Macaca fascicularis: one gene and its partners. The protein of the gene in region 1 purifies or fractionates together with the protein of each later gene. This does not show direct contact. Links are inferred from orthologs where the notes say so. Each region holds a gene or a part of one and is shown on either strand. Other genes may lie near its edges. The genes, in order: PSKH2, CDC37 and HSP90AB1.

Evidence for each region.
Region 2: the proteins of PSKH2 (region 1) and CDC37 purify together in Homo sapiens (affinity purification with mass spectrometry; 3 studies listed by BioGRID and IntAct, counting the BioPlex papers as one, with this or other methods). This does not show direct contact. The link is inferred for Macaca fascicularis from reciprocal best matches to the Homo sapiens genes PSKH2 and CDC37.
Region 3: the proteins of PSKH2 (region 1) and HSP90AB1 purify together in Homo sapiens (affinity purification with mass spectrometry; 3 studies listed by BioGRID and IntAct, counting the BioPlex papers as one, with this or other methods). This does not show direct contact. The link is inferred for Macaca fascicularis from reciprocal best matches to the Homo sapiens genes PSKH2 and HSP90AB1.

The regions. Positions count from the first base shown.
Region 1 is NC_088382.1:95,809,948-95,815,796, reverse strand, and holds the start of PSKH2 (serine/threonine-protein kinase H2), read left to right. Parts: upstream 1-1,923; 5' UTR 1,924-2,018; coding exon 2,019-2,203; intron 2,204-5,849.
Region 2 is NC_088393.1:10,957,322-10,962,620, reverse strand, and holds part of CDC37 (hsp90 co-chaperone Cdc37), read left to right. Parts: intron 1-1,507; coding exon 1,508-1,783; intron 1,784-2,014; coding exon 2,015-2,276; intron 2,277-2,368; coding exon 2,369-2,484; intron 2,485-2,568; coding exon 2,569-2,691; intron 2,692-3,626; coding exon 3,627-3,809; intron 3,810-3,909; coding exon 3,910-3,981; intron 3,982-5,299. UniProt on the Homo sapiens protein: Co-chaperone that binds to numerous kinases and promotes their interaction with the Hsp90 complex, resulting in stabilization and promotion of their activity. Inhibits HSP90AA1 ATPase activity.
Region 3 is NC_088378.1:127,263,986-127,268,251, reverse strand, and holds the end of HSP90AB1 (heat shock protein HSP 90-beta), read left to right. Parts: intron 1-364; coding exon 365-530; intron 531-733; coding exon 734-924; intron 925-1,046; coding exon 1,047-1,194; intron 1,195-1,309; coding exon 1,310-1,578; intron 1,579-2,067; coding exon 2,068-2,401; intron 2,402-2,511; coding exon 2,512-2,621; 3' UTR 2,622-2,904; downstream 2,905-4,266. Other genes in the region: SLC35B2 (adenosine 3'-phospho 5'-phosphosulfate transporter 1), read right to left, coding at 3,715-4,266. UniProt on the Homo sapiens protein: Molecular chaperone that promotes the maturation, structural maintenance and proper regulation of specific target proteins involved for instance in cell cycle control and signal transduction. Undergoes a functional cycle linked to its ATPase activity.

The DNA of each region.
Region 1 (5,849 bases):
CTTTCTCTGCTGTGCGGCCAGCCGCAGCCAGCACAGAAGAGGCTTCTGCAGCCTACTATGAAGGCCCTCATTGCTGGAAGAAGGCAGACAGGCAGAGGGACTGTGTCTGGTGTCTTCACTGCTGCCCAGGTTTAGGTTTTATAGTAGATGCTTCCTATATGCTGTGCGATCCTTATGCAAACAATCCTTACAACAGGCTCTCTGAGGAATGCATTTTGGTTTTTTCCTGAGCAGTACCTTAACATCTGACTTCAGTTTGTTCCCTTTGTTTCTGTCTTCCATTCTGTTTATACTATTAGGTTGATGCAAAAGTAATTGCAGCTTTTGCCTTTATTTATTTATTTATTTATTTATTTATTTATTTATTTTTGACATGGAGTCTCGCTTTGTCACCCAGGCTGGAATGCAGTGACGGGATCTCAACTCACTGCAACCTTTGCCTCCCAGGTTCAAGCAGTTCTCCTTCCTCAGCCTCTCAAGTAGCTGGGTCTACAGGCACGCACCACCAGGTCTAGCCAGTGTTTGTATTTTTTGTAGAGATGGAATTTCACCATGTTGGTCAGGGTGGTCTAGATCTCCTGACCTCGGGTGATCCACCTGCCTCGGCCTCCCAAAGTGCTGGGATTACAGGTGTGAGCCACTATGCCTGGCCTTGCCTTTACTTTTAATGGCAAAAACACAATTGCTTTTGCTCCAGCCTAATAAATAGCCTATTCTGCAAATTAATTCAAAAGCTCAAGACATGTAAGAACGAGTTGTTTACCTGCTTAAAATAAACCTTGTTTCCTTGTTTCTTAGTAGTTGGAAAATTCTGAGGGTTCTTTAGGAAGAAAAGTCCATTATTTGGTAGTTATGCTCTCTTTGCAGGATGAACTAATTTTCCCTCAGCTATATGCAAGCCATATTTTAAATTTTCCATCAAAATATAGCTCTGGGAAAATTCATGACTACTTTATTCATCACAGACATTCCTTGTTAAACCAAACTACAAATTAAATGAAATTAGAAAGGAAATTACACAAATTGAAGTAGCACTGGCCTGGAAATCAGGAAACAGCCTCCAGTTCCAGTTCTACAACTTGTGAGGCATGTGATCTTGATTTGCTTGATCGTGACTGGATTTCATTTCCCACACATCATTTTTGTGTGTGTGTGTGTGTGTGTGTGTGTGTATGAATGAATATAATTGACAAATGTCAATGAGGTCTAATCAATATAGTGATATAATCAATATACCTTTATCAAAATGATAAATATTTATAAGTATAATACTGTGTGTGTATAATTTATATACACACATTCACATACATGTATAATATATATAAATAACATAAGAATGAAATGTATAGAAAATGTAAAGTTACTATATATATTTATATATACACACACATATATATACACATACATATATACACACACACACACACACACACACACACACAGGTTTTCTCCTTGTATTTGCTTAGGGTGTTCGTCTGGGTTCTAAACATCTACTGTGGCCCTAAGTTTTTCTGTCTTAGATGGATTACCCGTAAGATGGTCATGAGGGCCAGACACAGGCCTTTGTCAACTGTTTAATGCAATAGAAGGCAGTGAAGTTCTACTTTAAATATTATAAGCTCTTAGAATTTTAATTGTTCATGTCATCCGAATATGAGCTCAGCGAAAAGTTCTTTAGAGGGACGATATCCTTTATAGAATCGTATAACTGTATATGTTCACTTCCTCAGGTTAGAGATGCAGAAAGTGAAGCCCAGAGAATTAGGCGCAGGCTCTGCCTGCTGGTTGACTTTGCTTTCATCACGTCAGATTACACACACAGACGGTGACCAGCGATGCTCCAGGCATCTCGGTCGTCAGCGGGTATCCTGAGGGCTGTCCGCCTGACCGCGACCCCCCAGTGGGGTTTCTTTCCGAGTGTGCCGCCCCTCACAGCTGCTCTGGGATAAAGGGCGGAGGAACAGAGCTGGCTGCTCCCCGAGTCCCCGGGTCCTGCGAGCGCCGGTCGTGTTGCGGGTATGGGGTGCGGCGCCAGCAGGAAGGTGGTCCCGGGGCCGCCAGCGCTGGCCTGGGCCAAGCACGAAGGTCAAAGTCAAGCCGGCGTCGGAGGTGCGGGGCCACGGCCCGAGGCGGCGGCCCAGGCGGCGCAGAGGATACAGGTGGCTCGCTTCCGAGCCAAGTTCGACCCCCGGGTCCTTGCCAGGTAAAGCGCCACGTGAGGAACTGGCCTGGGACTGGGCTGACAAAGAAAAATCCCTGGCCAAGACCGCCTCAAGGTTTCCTTCAGCTTGACTCAATTTTGGACAGGGTTCTTTCGGATGATAGACCACTGATCTACCCTTCTCTGCCCTTTTAAGATGTAAATCTTCTACAACCCAAGAGTGTCCTTTTCAAGCACCTGGGAGCCATCCCTTTGAAATGTAGTCATCAAGAGAGTCAGGGCCACTGTCTCCCAGTCCCTGTGGGAGGGTAGGAGCCTAACTTCCATTAGGGCCAGGCAGCAAACACAGATCTCATTGACCACCTCTCCCTAACCTTCCCCCATTCTTTTCCACTAGCTCACCCCAGAGCTTAAAAACTTTCTTGCCTTTTCTTTCAAAGGCGTCCATTTCCTTTCCTCTGTTGCAGAAGCCTTGACCCCTATTGCAATAGTCTGGGATAAGCCTTCTTTGCTGTGTTCCATAAGTGCCCAGTACAATTTATCTTTGACATCTCTGAGCAGGGAGTTCAGAGGATGGGAAAAAAGAGAGCAGGAGCAGCAGCAAACAAGGGAAAGAATTCCTGTCTTCAGAGGTGGGGTGTGGGGCTGTGAGAGGACTGCCTACCAACCTCCAGCGTCTGTGGCAGAAGACAGCTTTGCCACCAATATCCTAGGGCTGGGTCCTACCAGACCTGGTGTGTGAAGGATCTTCCACTAAATTCTAAAAATTGGGATTACAGTGAGTGAACTAGAGACACGCCTTTGAGTCAGCCAGGCTTAAGGTCCAGTTCTATCTCTTCTATCATGTACCATTTCGACTATTCCTTAGCTTTTTTCCTTCCTTAGTTTCTGCCTCTGTAAAATGGGAGTATCTATCTCATAAGACTGTTGGCAGCATAATTAAAGTAATACATGCAAATTATGCTGCACAGTGCATGGCACCAGTCCTCCTGTAGACATTAGTGCAATGCTGATTACTGTCTTCATGAAGTACAAATAAGCCCTCGCTATGTAGAAGATTGCAAGTTGGTTGGCCTCCTCAGAGTGTACCATGTTGGACATGTTGGACATTTTGACCAAGTAAATCACAGAATCCCCTTCTCCTCTGTGTGTTTGGGGGCACACAATAATGGGTGGCTCAGCTGGCTTCCCAAGGCACTTCTGGTCCTAGAATTGCACACTCACTTCATCACAGTGCTCTGTCCAGAATCTATGCAGAGCCATTTCCTGGCTCTTTGAGAACTTTTAATGACTCCTGGAGGATTAGTCCAGTGGCTGCTAAGTTTAGAGAAGAATAAAACTGACTAATATGACTGAACTGAATCTGAGTAGGTACAGGGTCTTGTCAAGACTGAATTGGTTAAATAGCATCTCTGGTCATTTGTAGTCAGAGAGTTGATGCTAGTCTGATCTAGTCTTCATCCACCCTCCTCATTCCCAATCCCCGGGTAGACCCAGCCCCATAGAGTGTAAAGGGATCACAGAAGTAGAGGATCTCAACATTACAAGGGCTTCAGAGACTGTAACTCAAGGCTCATCTTTAACCAATGAGTAGTTGAGTTCCCAAAGGTTAAGTGATGACTTGTCCAAGTTAATGGTAGAATTGGGACTAGAACACAGTCATCTTTCTTCTCCATTGTGATTCCATCTATAACTTTTGCAGAAAAGAGATGATAGAATTTAAATATGAGTATATTTACTTTCTTTTTTTTCTTTTTTTTTTTTTTGAGACGGAGTCTCGCTCTGTCTCCCAGGCTGGAGTGCAGTGGCCGGATCTCAGCTCACTGTAAGCTCCGCCTCCGGGTTTACGCCATTCTCCTGCCTCAGCCTCCCAAGTAGCTGGGACTACAGGCACCCGCCACCTCACCCGGCTAGTTTTTTGTATTTTTTTAGTAGAGACGGGGTTTCACCGTGTTCGCCAGGATGGTCTCGATCTCCTGACCTCATGATCCGCCCGTCTCAGCCTCCCAAAGTGCTGGGATTACAGGCTTGAGCCACCGCGCGCGGCTATATTTACTTTCTTGTTGGGAGTTTATTACAATTGTTTCTCTCAAGCAGATTGTGACATTATTATTATTTTCTTGTTTCAAATCTTTATGTTCAAAAATTCCCAGTTTGTATAATAGCAACTGAGGTTAAAGTAATATTTCCAATTTATGTAGTCTCTGGAATGATACAAAATAGCCCCACCTATAAACTGACTTTGAGGCTACTCTTTTAAGAGAGTGGAGGGGTAAAAGTGAAGGAAATGAAAAGACCTTATAGAGGCATTCTTCCCTGTTTGATGTGATTTTTACTTAATATTTTCAATATATATATGATGATTCAGGAATAATATGTATTCGGTGAATGATTCTTTTGTTCAATGTTTATTGCTACTTCTCTGTGCTAGGCACTTTACAAGGTATAATCACGCAAATCATAAAGATGGTCACCGTTCATGGCTGTTGAGGACTCATGAGCAAGGCTGCAGCTGTAAGAATTTGTTATGGGACAAATTGAATAACAATCTGAAGCATTTACTTCCACCACTCTAAATCTTGGCTTAAAGTGTACTGTTTCCTCCAATGCCAAATTACTAGCAATTTTTCAAATATTGGAAATATGAAGGCCCCTTAACAGTATTGAAAAAAGCTTCTTTTATTTGAGCAAAAGAGTGTAGTTCTCAGAAATGGTAGTTTGTTTGATATGATTAATTCTGTGAACAAATGAGTTTGGTGGCAGCTTTGAGGGCATGGCGATAAATTAGCATTTGCAGAGTGCTTTCATCCATAATAGAGGTAATATAAAACTTGGTTGGTCTGCAAAGCAATAGAATTTGAAATGCCTGTGATTATCTTCAAAATCACACTGGGAATGCATGTAAATAAAAAAGCAGAGATGGAAAGGGAAAAGGGGAAAGAATCTATTTAAGATTACTAAATTGCTATCTGTTTTGATAAGGTAATTGGCCAGAAAATTAAGTGCTCTGTGGAGAACAAAGCTGTTTTCTGTAATCTGGTACAGCCAAACGTCATTTTTATTCAATACACACAGGAATATAAAGAACAAACAAGAAGGCAAAGAAAAAAAAACGTTACAGGAAAAATAAGCTCAATAAAAGAAGTAAGACTATTTAAAGAATAGTTTAGTATTTGTATTTGAATCTTCAGTATTGAATATGTGGTATAAAAATGTGCCTTCTCCCTGGGTGCTCCCTGAGTACATTCCATTCTCTGTCATCCTTAGCTAGGAGAGGTTTTATTAAAATGAAGTCTGGGTACAGTGGCTCACATCTGTAATCCCAACACTTTGGGAGGCTGAGGTGGGCAGATCACTTCAGGTCAGGAGTGCAAGACCAGCCTGGCCAACAAGGTGAAACCCCGTCTCTAATCTAAAAAAAATACAAAAATTAGCCGGGCAAGGTGGCGTGCACCTGTAATCCCAGCTACTCAGGAGGCTGAGACAGGAGAATCACTTGAACCCAGGAGGCAGAGGTTGCAGTGAGCCAAGATCATGCCACTGTACTCCAGCTTGGGTGACAGAGCAAGACCATCTCAAAAAAAAAAAAAAAAAAAAAAAAAAAAGAAAAGAAAAGAAAAAGAAAAAAGAAAAGAAAGGAGACCTGTGTTCTAATCCTGACTCTGCAACGATTGGCTAATGTGTTCTT
Region 2 (5,299 bases), on another chromosome or scaffold:
AACATCTAGAAGGGGCCCTGGTACAGTGGCTCATGCCTGTAATCCCAGTAATTTGGGAGGCCAAGGTGGGTGGATCACTTGAGGTCAGGAGTTCCAGATCAGCCTGACCAACATGGAGAAACCTGGTCTCTACTAAAAATATAAAATTACCCTGGTGTGGTGGCGCATGCCTGTAATCCCAGCTACTCAGAAGGCTGAGGCAGGAAAATCTCTTGAAAACGGGAGGCAGAGGTTGCAGTGAGCCAAGATCGTACCACTGCACTCCAGCCTGGGCGACTCCATCTAAAAAAAAAACAAAAAAAAAACAATAGCTGGGCATGGTGGTTTCTGTGCACCTTTAGTCCTAGCTAGTTGGGAGGTTGAGGCAGGAGGATCTCTTGAGCCTGGGAGGTCAAGGCTGCAGTGAACCATGATCGCACCACTGCACTCTAGTCTGCATGACAACAAGACCTTGTTCAAAGAAAACCAAACAAAATAAAAACAAAAAAACAAGCATTTGCTGAGCCCCTGCTTTGCGCCAGGCCAAGTTCCTGGTTCTGGAGACAAAATGGCAAACACATTCCCATATTTAGAGAGCGGGGCGGGGCAGTACCCAAAAACGTGATAAATAATTGTCATATGATGTGAGTGGTGGCTGGTGTTGAGGCAGGGAATTCCAGACGGGGGCAGCGGGAGGTTGCCATCAATAGGAAGGTGGTTAGGGAAGGGGTCCTCGCTAAGGCAACATGGAGCCCAGATGGTGCGGGTGCCATAGAGTCAGCTGTGGGGGGATCTGAGGGAAAATCATTCCAAGTAGTTGGAACAGCCAGTGTGAAGGCCTTGAAGTTCAAGAAAAAAGCAGGCTCTGCAGAGCAGAGTGGCTCCTGCCTGTGGTCCCAGCACTTTGGGAGGCCAAGGCGGAAGAGTCGCTTGAACCCAGGACTTCAAGACCCGTCTGGGCAACATGGCGAAACCCCATCTTTACTGCAAATACAAAAATTAGCTGGGCGTGGTGGTGCACACCTGTAGTCCCAGCTACTCGGGAGGCGAGGTGGGAGGATTGCCTGAGCCCAGGGAGGTCGAGGCTTCAGTAAGTCGTCATTGGGCCACTGCACTCTGACCTGGGCGACAGAGTGAGACCCTGTTTTTTTGTTTTTTTTCTAAAAGAAAAAAAAATGGTCTCAAGAAAAGGTGAGAAAAGTGAGGGGCCAGTGTGGCTGGAAGGAAGAGTTAGCAGGGGAGGTGCTGGGGCAGATTGTGTAGGGCCTACGTAGGCTGTGGTGACAACCTGGACTCTGCTCTGAGTGAGATGGGAGCCGCCAGGGTTCTGAGCGGAGGACGGAGGGACCGGACCCCACTTGGGTGTGCGTCGGCACCTGTGGGGGCAGGGGCGGAAGCTGGGAGACCAGGGCACGGGAGGTGGAGGCATACTTTTTCCCGGGGCCATCTCTGGTGCGGGGATTGGGTATGGGGCTGGGGGTAAGGGACAGGCCGCTCCCCAAAGTTGATAGGCCGCCCCTGCCCGCAGGCCCGGGTGGAGCGCATGGAGCAGTTCCAGAAGGAGAAGGAGGAACTGGACAGGGGCTGCCGCGAGTGCAAGCGCAAGGTGGCCGAATGCCAGAGGAAGCTGAAGGAGCTGGAGGTGGCTGAGGGCGGCAAGGCAGAGCTGGAGCGGCTGCAGGCCGAGGCACAGCAGCTGCGCAAAGAGGAGCGGAGCTGGGAGCAGAAGCTGGAAGAGATGCGCAAGAAGGAGAAGAGCATGCCCTGGAACGTGGACACGCTCAGCAAAGACGGCTTCAGCAAGGTGTGCGGGGCGGGCGGGGCGGGCAGTGCACTTGCGCAGCCAGCGAGTATGCAGCCAGGACGCATGCGCACCCAATGCCTGGTCAGGGGAGGACCGCGGCGGTGTAGTTGAAGAGTGTGGTGTGGGGCAGAGAGCTGAGGGACGGACGGGGGCCACGTGGGAGGGGGGACAGGCTTGGAGGGCCGGGCGGATGAAACACCCCACCGGTCCCCTCCTCTGATCTGCCCCAAGGCCCATGCCCACGCTCCCGCCACCTTGATGCTCATGGCTTCGTCACCACCTCCGCCGTGGATGGGATGGGCGCTGCGGCCACGGCCCGCCCGGCCGCACTCGAGGCGCTCCGCAGCCTTGCCCCAGCCCACTCCCCCTCTCACCCTACCACAGAGCATGGTCAACACCAAGCCCGAGAAGACAGAGGAGGACTCAGAGGAGGTGAGGGAGCAGAAACACAAGACTTTCGTGGAAAAGTACGAGAAACAGATCAAGCACTTTGGTGAGTGGGGCGTGTGAGGTTATGGGGGGCAAGGTCGGGGCAGGCCCTTTGCCTCCAGGGCCCTCCAGCACCTTGCCAGCATCTTCCCACAGGCATGCTCCGCCGCTGGGATGACAGCCAAAAGTACCTGTCAGACAATGTCCACCTGGTGTGCGAGGAGACGGCCAATTACCTGGTCATCTGGTGCATTGACCTAGAGGTGGAGGAGGTGAGTGGAGCTTTCCCCAGGGCTGTGAAAAGGTGCTGCCCTGAGGCCGCCACTTGGTAACACTGTGCCTGTTCTCCCTGGCAGAAATGTGCACTCATGGAGCAGGTGGCCCACCAGACAATCGTCATGCAGTTTATCCTGGAGCTGGCCAAGAGCCTGAAGGTGGACCCCCGGGCCTGCTTCCGGCAGTTCTTCACTAAGATTAAGGTAGGGTCCCCTGAGCTGCCAGGTGGCTGGAGGCCCCCTCCCCAGGGAACCAGCCCACAGCGCTCTGGGTAAGGCCGACTCCTGTCCACTGGGACTCAAGCCCCTCCAATCACCGAATCCTAGATCAGGAGAGGGCGGGGCCAAGGAGGGGGAGAGAAGTGGGCGGATGCTGCCAGACTTTAAAAGTGGAGGTCAGGCCAGGCTTGGTGACTGAGTCCTATAGTCCAAGTCTTTGGGAGGCTGAAGCAGGAGGACCACTTGAGCTCAGGAATTTGTGAGCTGTGGTGTTCCACTGCACTCCAGCCTGGGTGACAGAGCAAAACTGCATTACAAAAAAAAATGGGAGCACTAGGATGTGCTGGAGGTCCCCATGTGGATATGTGGGTAAAGGACAGAGGTGAGGGTGCCTCTAGGGCTCTGGGCTTTTTTTTGTTTTTGAGACCCAGTCTTGCTATCACCAAGGCTGGAGTGCAATGGCGTGATCTCAGCTCACTACAACCCCTGCCTCCTGGGTTCAAGCAACTCTCATGCCTCAGCCTCCCAAGTAGCTGGCATTACAGGCGCCTGCCAGCCTCTCGGGTTTTTAACTTGCGCACCTGGAGGAACAGGGGTACCCTTACCAAGACTGGGGAGACCAAGGACAAGGCAGGCTGGGAGGTGGCCGTGTTGAGTTAGAGGTGCCCATGCAGGGACACTGAGGACACGAGTGTCTCGGATCTGCAGTAGAGCAGGGCTCCCAAGGAGGTGGTCTTTAGCAAATGCCAGATGAGGTCCCTGGCAGGGGAGCCCAGGCCTTGGGAAGCCCTTTATGTAAGTCAGGAACAGACTTAGGGAGCCCTGGGGCACCTCTGAGGAGCTGTGGCTGGAGGGTCCTGGGCCCCCAGTCCCTCCTGAGCACTGGGCCAAGTCTAGTGAGCACTGCCCGACCCCCATAGACAGCCGATCGCCAGTACATGGAGGGCTTCAACGACGAGCTAGAAGCCTTCAAGGAGCGTGTGCGGGGCCGTGCCAAGCTGCGCATTGAGAAGGCCATGAAGGAGTATGAGGAGGAGGAGCGCAAGAAGCGGCTTGGCCCCGGCGGCCTGGACCCTGTCGAGGTCTACGAGTCCCTCCCTGAGGTGCGGCTCCCCAGCCCAGGCGGGCGGCAGGAGGACCCTGAGCGGGACCCCCCAGGGCACAGGGACCCAGCCCCTGACCCCAGCCCTTCTATACCCCCAGGAACTCCAGAAGTGCTTCGATGTAAAGGACGTGCAGATGCTGCAAGACGCCATCAGCAAGATGGACCCCACCGTGAGTAACCCCCACGTCCCATGCCTTTCCAGCGGGCCATGTGTCTCCCCCAGCCCTGTGTCCCAAGTCTCTGAAGCCAGTTGGTGAAAGTGCCCCTTCAAGGCTTCTCCAAGGACTAAGGGGGGTCGTGTTACCTTGGCACACACCCACATTTATTGAGCACCTACTGTGTCCCAGCATCCAGCAGATAAATGCTGAGCTTTGAGCGTATGTCCCTTGTGACTGATAGTCACTGTTAATGTGACTGAGTCCAGCCTCAGTTTCCTTATGCAAACCATATTTTCTCTCAATATCAGCTCACAAAACGTGTGGGGAAAGGAGCTGAGCACACGGCAGGGGCTGGTAAATGCTGGCTGTTAATTGGATTTTGTCTGGTTTTTTTTTTTTTGAGACAGAGTCTCGCTCTGTCACCCAGGCTGGAGTGCAGTGGTGCTATTTCTGCTCACTGCAAACTCCGCCTCCCGGGTTTGCACCATTCTCCTGCCTCAGCCTCCCGAGTAGCTGGGACTACAGGCACCCACCACCATGCCCGGCTAATTTTTTGTATTTTTTAGTAGAGACGGGGTTTCACTGTGTTAGCCAGGATGGTCTCAATCTCCTGACCTCGTGATCCGCCCGCCTCAGCCTCCCAGAGTGCTGGGATTACAGGCGTGAGTCACTGCACCTGGCCATCTGTTTTTTTTTTTTTGACAGACAGGGTCTTCCTCTCTCACCCAGGCTGCAGCCTCCACCTCCCAGGCTCAAGTGATCCTCCCACCTCAGCCTCCCCAAGTACCTGGGATTATAGGCTGACACCATGACATCTCACTGATTTTTTTTCTAAAAATTATGTTTTTATAAAGAAGGTCTCACTGGCTGTATTTTTGGAAGTGGCAATAGACGTTGAATCTAAGTAGGACACGATTGACCCTATTCCTACCACTTGGCTCACTGGTTGGTCACCCTGGTTTTCTCGTCTGTAAAATGGGTCTAGCTGCAGGACTGGCCATGAGTTTCTAGAAGCTTCTATGGGCATAGCCATCTAGACCAGCTTCTGCAAACCGCAGCTCCCAGACTCACTGCCTGTCTTTATAATAAAGTTTTATTGCAACAAAGAAGCCATGCTCAATTGTTTCACTGTCATCTACAACCGATCTTGCTCTGCCACAGAGTTGAGTCGTGACGGAGACCATATGGCTTGCGGAAGCAGAAATATTTAGTCAGTCCCTTTACTAAAAAAATTTGCTGGCTTTTGTTCTAGATTGCACTATCTAAATTTAAAATAAAGTTAAATAAAATTTAAAGTTCCAGCTGAGTACGGTGGCTCACGCCTGTAATC
Region 3 (4,266 bases), on another chromosome or scaffold:
AACGTGTCCAGCTGATAACAGAAATGTGAGAGCTATGTATTTTCACTTACTGATTACCCGGTCATAGTGAAGTGCCATCCTTCCTAATGACCTCACTTTCTCTAAAGGAAATCTGGGTAATGTCTATTGGCAGCCTTACACATCCAGAGTTCTGATCAGAGCGGACTGTTTTCTATATACAGCTAGTATTCGTCTAGATCGTTGAGGGCATTAAGGCTCAGTTTTCTCGGGAACTGCCTGTGTGTGCGCTCTATCCGTTAGGCTTATGGGGAGGATCATTATTCCATTTTTAGGTAATTTGGTGTTGGGGCTAAAAGGCCCTCTTTTGAAATGTATCACTTGCTTATTTTTTGTTTTTTTTCAGCACTTTTCTGTAGAAGGTCAGTTGGAATTCAGGGCATTGCTATTCATTCCTCGTCGGGCTCCCTTTGACCTTTTTGAGAACAAGAAGAAAAAGAACAACATCAAACTCTATGTCCGTCGTGTGTTCATCATGGACAGCTGTGATGAGTTAATACCAGAGTATCTCAGTGAGTATCTCCTTGGCCTAATTTAGTTGGGTGAAGTCTTGGGAGGTTTTCGGCATTCTGCCAGAATATCCTAGGTTAAGGATTTTCTGCAATGCATAGTAAGTATAAGGGTTCAGGAGGCTATTAGAGCCTTCTGTTTGAATCTGGGTACCAGCTCTGGTCTAGCTATTTTTACTGAGCTTTCTTATCCTGGTTGATGGCAGATTTTATTCGTGGTGTGGTTGACTCTGAGGATCTGCCCCTGAACATCTCCCGAGAAATGCTCCAGCAGAGCAAAATCTTGAAAGTCATTCGTAAAAACATTGTTAAGAAGTGTCTTGAGCTCTTCTCTGAGCTGGCAGAAGACAAGGAGAATTACAAGAAATTCTATGAGGCATTCTCTAAAAATCTCAAGGTAAAGAAGCAAATGCTTATTCCCTTTACCACTTTCTTAGTAATTACTAACAAATTTTTCCATTCACATAGAAAGTGAATTGTAGTTAAGTTGGATTGTTTTTTCTCTTCCCACCCTTCAAGCTTGGAATCCACGAGGACTCCACTAACCGCCGCCGCCTGTCTGAGCTGCTGCGCTATCACACCTCCCAGTCTGGAGATGAGATGACATCTCTGTCAGAGTATGTTTCTCGCATGAAGGAGACACAGAAGTCCATCTATTACATCACTGGTGCGTTGGTTCTGATGGAAGCCTTTTTGGAGGAGTGGGGAGCACATTTCAGGGCTACCTAGGAACTGGCAGTATGAGGCATTTTAGTCACTGAGTCCATTTAATTACCCTACAGGTGAGAGCAAAGAGCAGGTGGCCAACTCAGCTTTTGTGGAGCGAGTGCGGAAACGGGGCTTCGAGGTGGTATATATGACCGAGCCCATTGACGAGTACTGTGTGCAGCAGCTCAAGGAGTTTGATGGGAAGAGCCTGGTCTCAGTTACCAAGGAGGGTCTGGAGCTGCCTGAGGATGAGGAGGAGAAGAAGAAGATGGAAGAGAGCAAGGCAAAGTTTGAGAACCTTTGCAAGCTCATGAAAGAAATCTTAGATAAGAAGGTTGAGAAGGTAAGCCATTCTGGAGCTAGGATATATTTTGTAACATACCTTTGAGGTGGGCTCCCTCACAATCATGTTTTTACACAATTAGTGGCTTGAGGCACCCTATTTACTGTTTGGAGCCTTCTTGCCTCTTGTTCTCTTCCCTAGCCAGGTTTAAGGCTATTTTAATAAAATTTGGCACAGATTAGGCATTGCTTCAGTTAACTTGTGAGAGTAGATAAAATATTATTTTCTTCTTTTTTTGACTGGATCTCAGCTCACTGCAAATTCAAGTCTCCTGAGTGGCTGGGATTACAGACATGTGCCACCACACCCGGTTAATTTTTTGTATATTTTGTAGAGAGAGGGTTTTGCCAGGTTGGTCTCAAACTCAAGTGATCGGCCCCACCTCCTCCTCCTCCCCCTGCTGGAATTACAGGCTTGACAGTGTCCGTTTTCTCTTTCAAAGTGGTCACTGATCTAATGCAAATCTAAGGCTTTTGTGATTGTCCACAGGTGACAATCTCCAATAGGCTTGTGTCTTCACCCTGCTGCATTGTGACCAGCACCTATGGCTGGACAGCCAATATGGAGCGGATCATGAAAGCCCAGGCACTTCGGGACAACTCCACCATGGGCTATATGATGGCCAAAAAGCACCTGGAGATCAACCCTGACCACCCCATTGTGGAGACTCTGCGGCAGAAGGCTGAGGCCGACAAGAATGATAAGGCAGTTAAGGACCTGGTGGTGCTGCTGTTTGAAACCGCCCTGCTCTCTTCAGGCTTTTCCCTTGAGGATCCCCAGACCCACTCCAACCGCATCTACCGCATGATCAAGCTAGGTCTAGGTAAGCAGCTTTGGTACTTGATGTGGCAAGGAGTTTGTGCAACTAGGCTCCTGTCTGGATTTGACTTAATGCTATTTAATCAAGTCTTACATGGCTTAATTTTACTTTAGGTATTGATGAAGATGAAGTGGCAGCAGAAGAACCCAGTGCTGCAGTTCCTGATGAGATTCCCCCTCTTGAGGGCGATGAGGATGCGTCTCGCATGGAAGAAGTCGATTAGGTTAGAAGTTCATAGTTGGAAAACTTGTGCCCTTGTATAGTGTCCCCGTGGCTCCCACTGCAGCCTCAAGTGCCCCTGTCCCACCTGGCTCCCCCTGCTGATGTCTAGTGTTGTTTTTCCTCTCCTGTCCTTGTGTTGAAGGCAGGAAACCAAGGGTGTCAAGCCCCATTCCCTCTCTACTCTGACAGCAGGATTGGATGTTGTGTGTTGTGGTTTATTTTATTTTCTTCATTTTGTTCTGAAATTAAAGTATGCAAAATAAAGAATATGCCGTTTTTATACACTTTTGCTCTCCCTTGTGAAGTGGATGTTTATTCTTCCCTAGCTTCTCTATCCCCCCCAGCTCTTGCTGTTTTCATGAGCACAGCAAGTTAAGCTGGTTTTGTAGCTAAGATACAGAATACCAGTGAGTCTTAAGAGTGCACACACTGAAGCTAAAGGCAGTTTTTCTGAAAAACTACCATATAATAATGCCTTTTCAGTCAAAACACAGGACCAAGTCCATTACTGTAATTTAATTTAATAAAATAAAATTATAAGAGCAAAAAGTTACATTTCTAAAGTACCAAAACCTACAACAGGCTCATGGAGTAGAGCCTAGGGATCCAGGAGCATAGGAGGTGGTGGTGCTGGGCAGGGATCTGCATCCCCTTTCCACAACACAGCACCATCTTCACTTCACCCTCCTGGGAAAGCAGCATTGGAGCCTACACCGCTTGTGCTTTTCTCACCAGGGTAAGAAATGCAGGTATTTGCAGAGGGGAGTCTGGAAGGCAGCAGAGCACAGCTAGGGCAAGACTTAAGGAAACTTCTGGGAGGGGGAACTGTGGAACCTACCTATGCCCTCTTGACCCCAAACTCCCCCTCACTGAGGACTATCTCTACCCTGGGGCTCAGAATAAACTGCCTGCTGGAAGATGGGTGACTTAAGGCAAAAGGGAAGGCTGCCTCCTGGGCTCCCCACCCCCTGCTGCAGAGTCTATGATACTGAGAAAACACCTGCATTTTGCCCTTTGAGCCAGCTCCCTCGGGTTACAGTAGGAGAAAATGGTGAGAAGACTATTTCACTTCACCCCTCAGGCCCTCTCCACCCTCAAACCTTCTGCACAGGAGACTCAACAGGCACAGCCTTCTTTCCCCGTTGCTTTAGACGGCCCCGCGCGTAGACTCTGAGTAGGAGGGCAGCAAAGACCACAGCCACTCCCAGCCCTCCCACCACAGTGACAGTGTGGCCATAGAGAAGGCAGGAAAGAAGGATGGCAAAGGCCTGGCGGAGGGTCATGATGATGGTGAAGACAGCAGCCCCGAACTGCCCAATGGTGTAAAAGATGAAGAGCTGGCCACATGCAGAGCAGATGGAGAGTAGCAGGGCATGGGCAGCAAACTCACTGTGTCGCCCCATGAAGCGGGTTCCCTCCAGGAGGGCCCCCTGTTCTAGCAGTGAGCCTACTGTGAAGAGGCAGGAGAAGAAATTGACCCCAAACATCATCTGCACCGATGACATCTTATAGGCAAATAGGGCATCCTGCCAGTTTGAAGTGAAGCTGTCAAAAGCAATATAACCTGCCAGTAAGATGAGGCCTGAGAGTGTGGTGGCCGGAGAGCTGCGGGGCTCTGGTCCGCTGGATAGCAGAAACATGCTGAC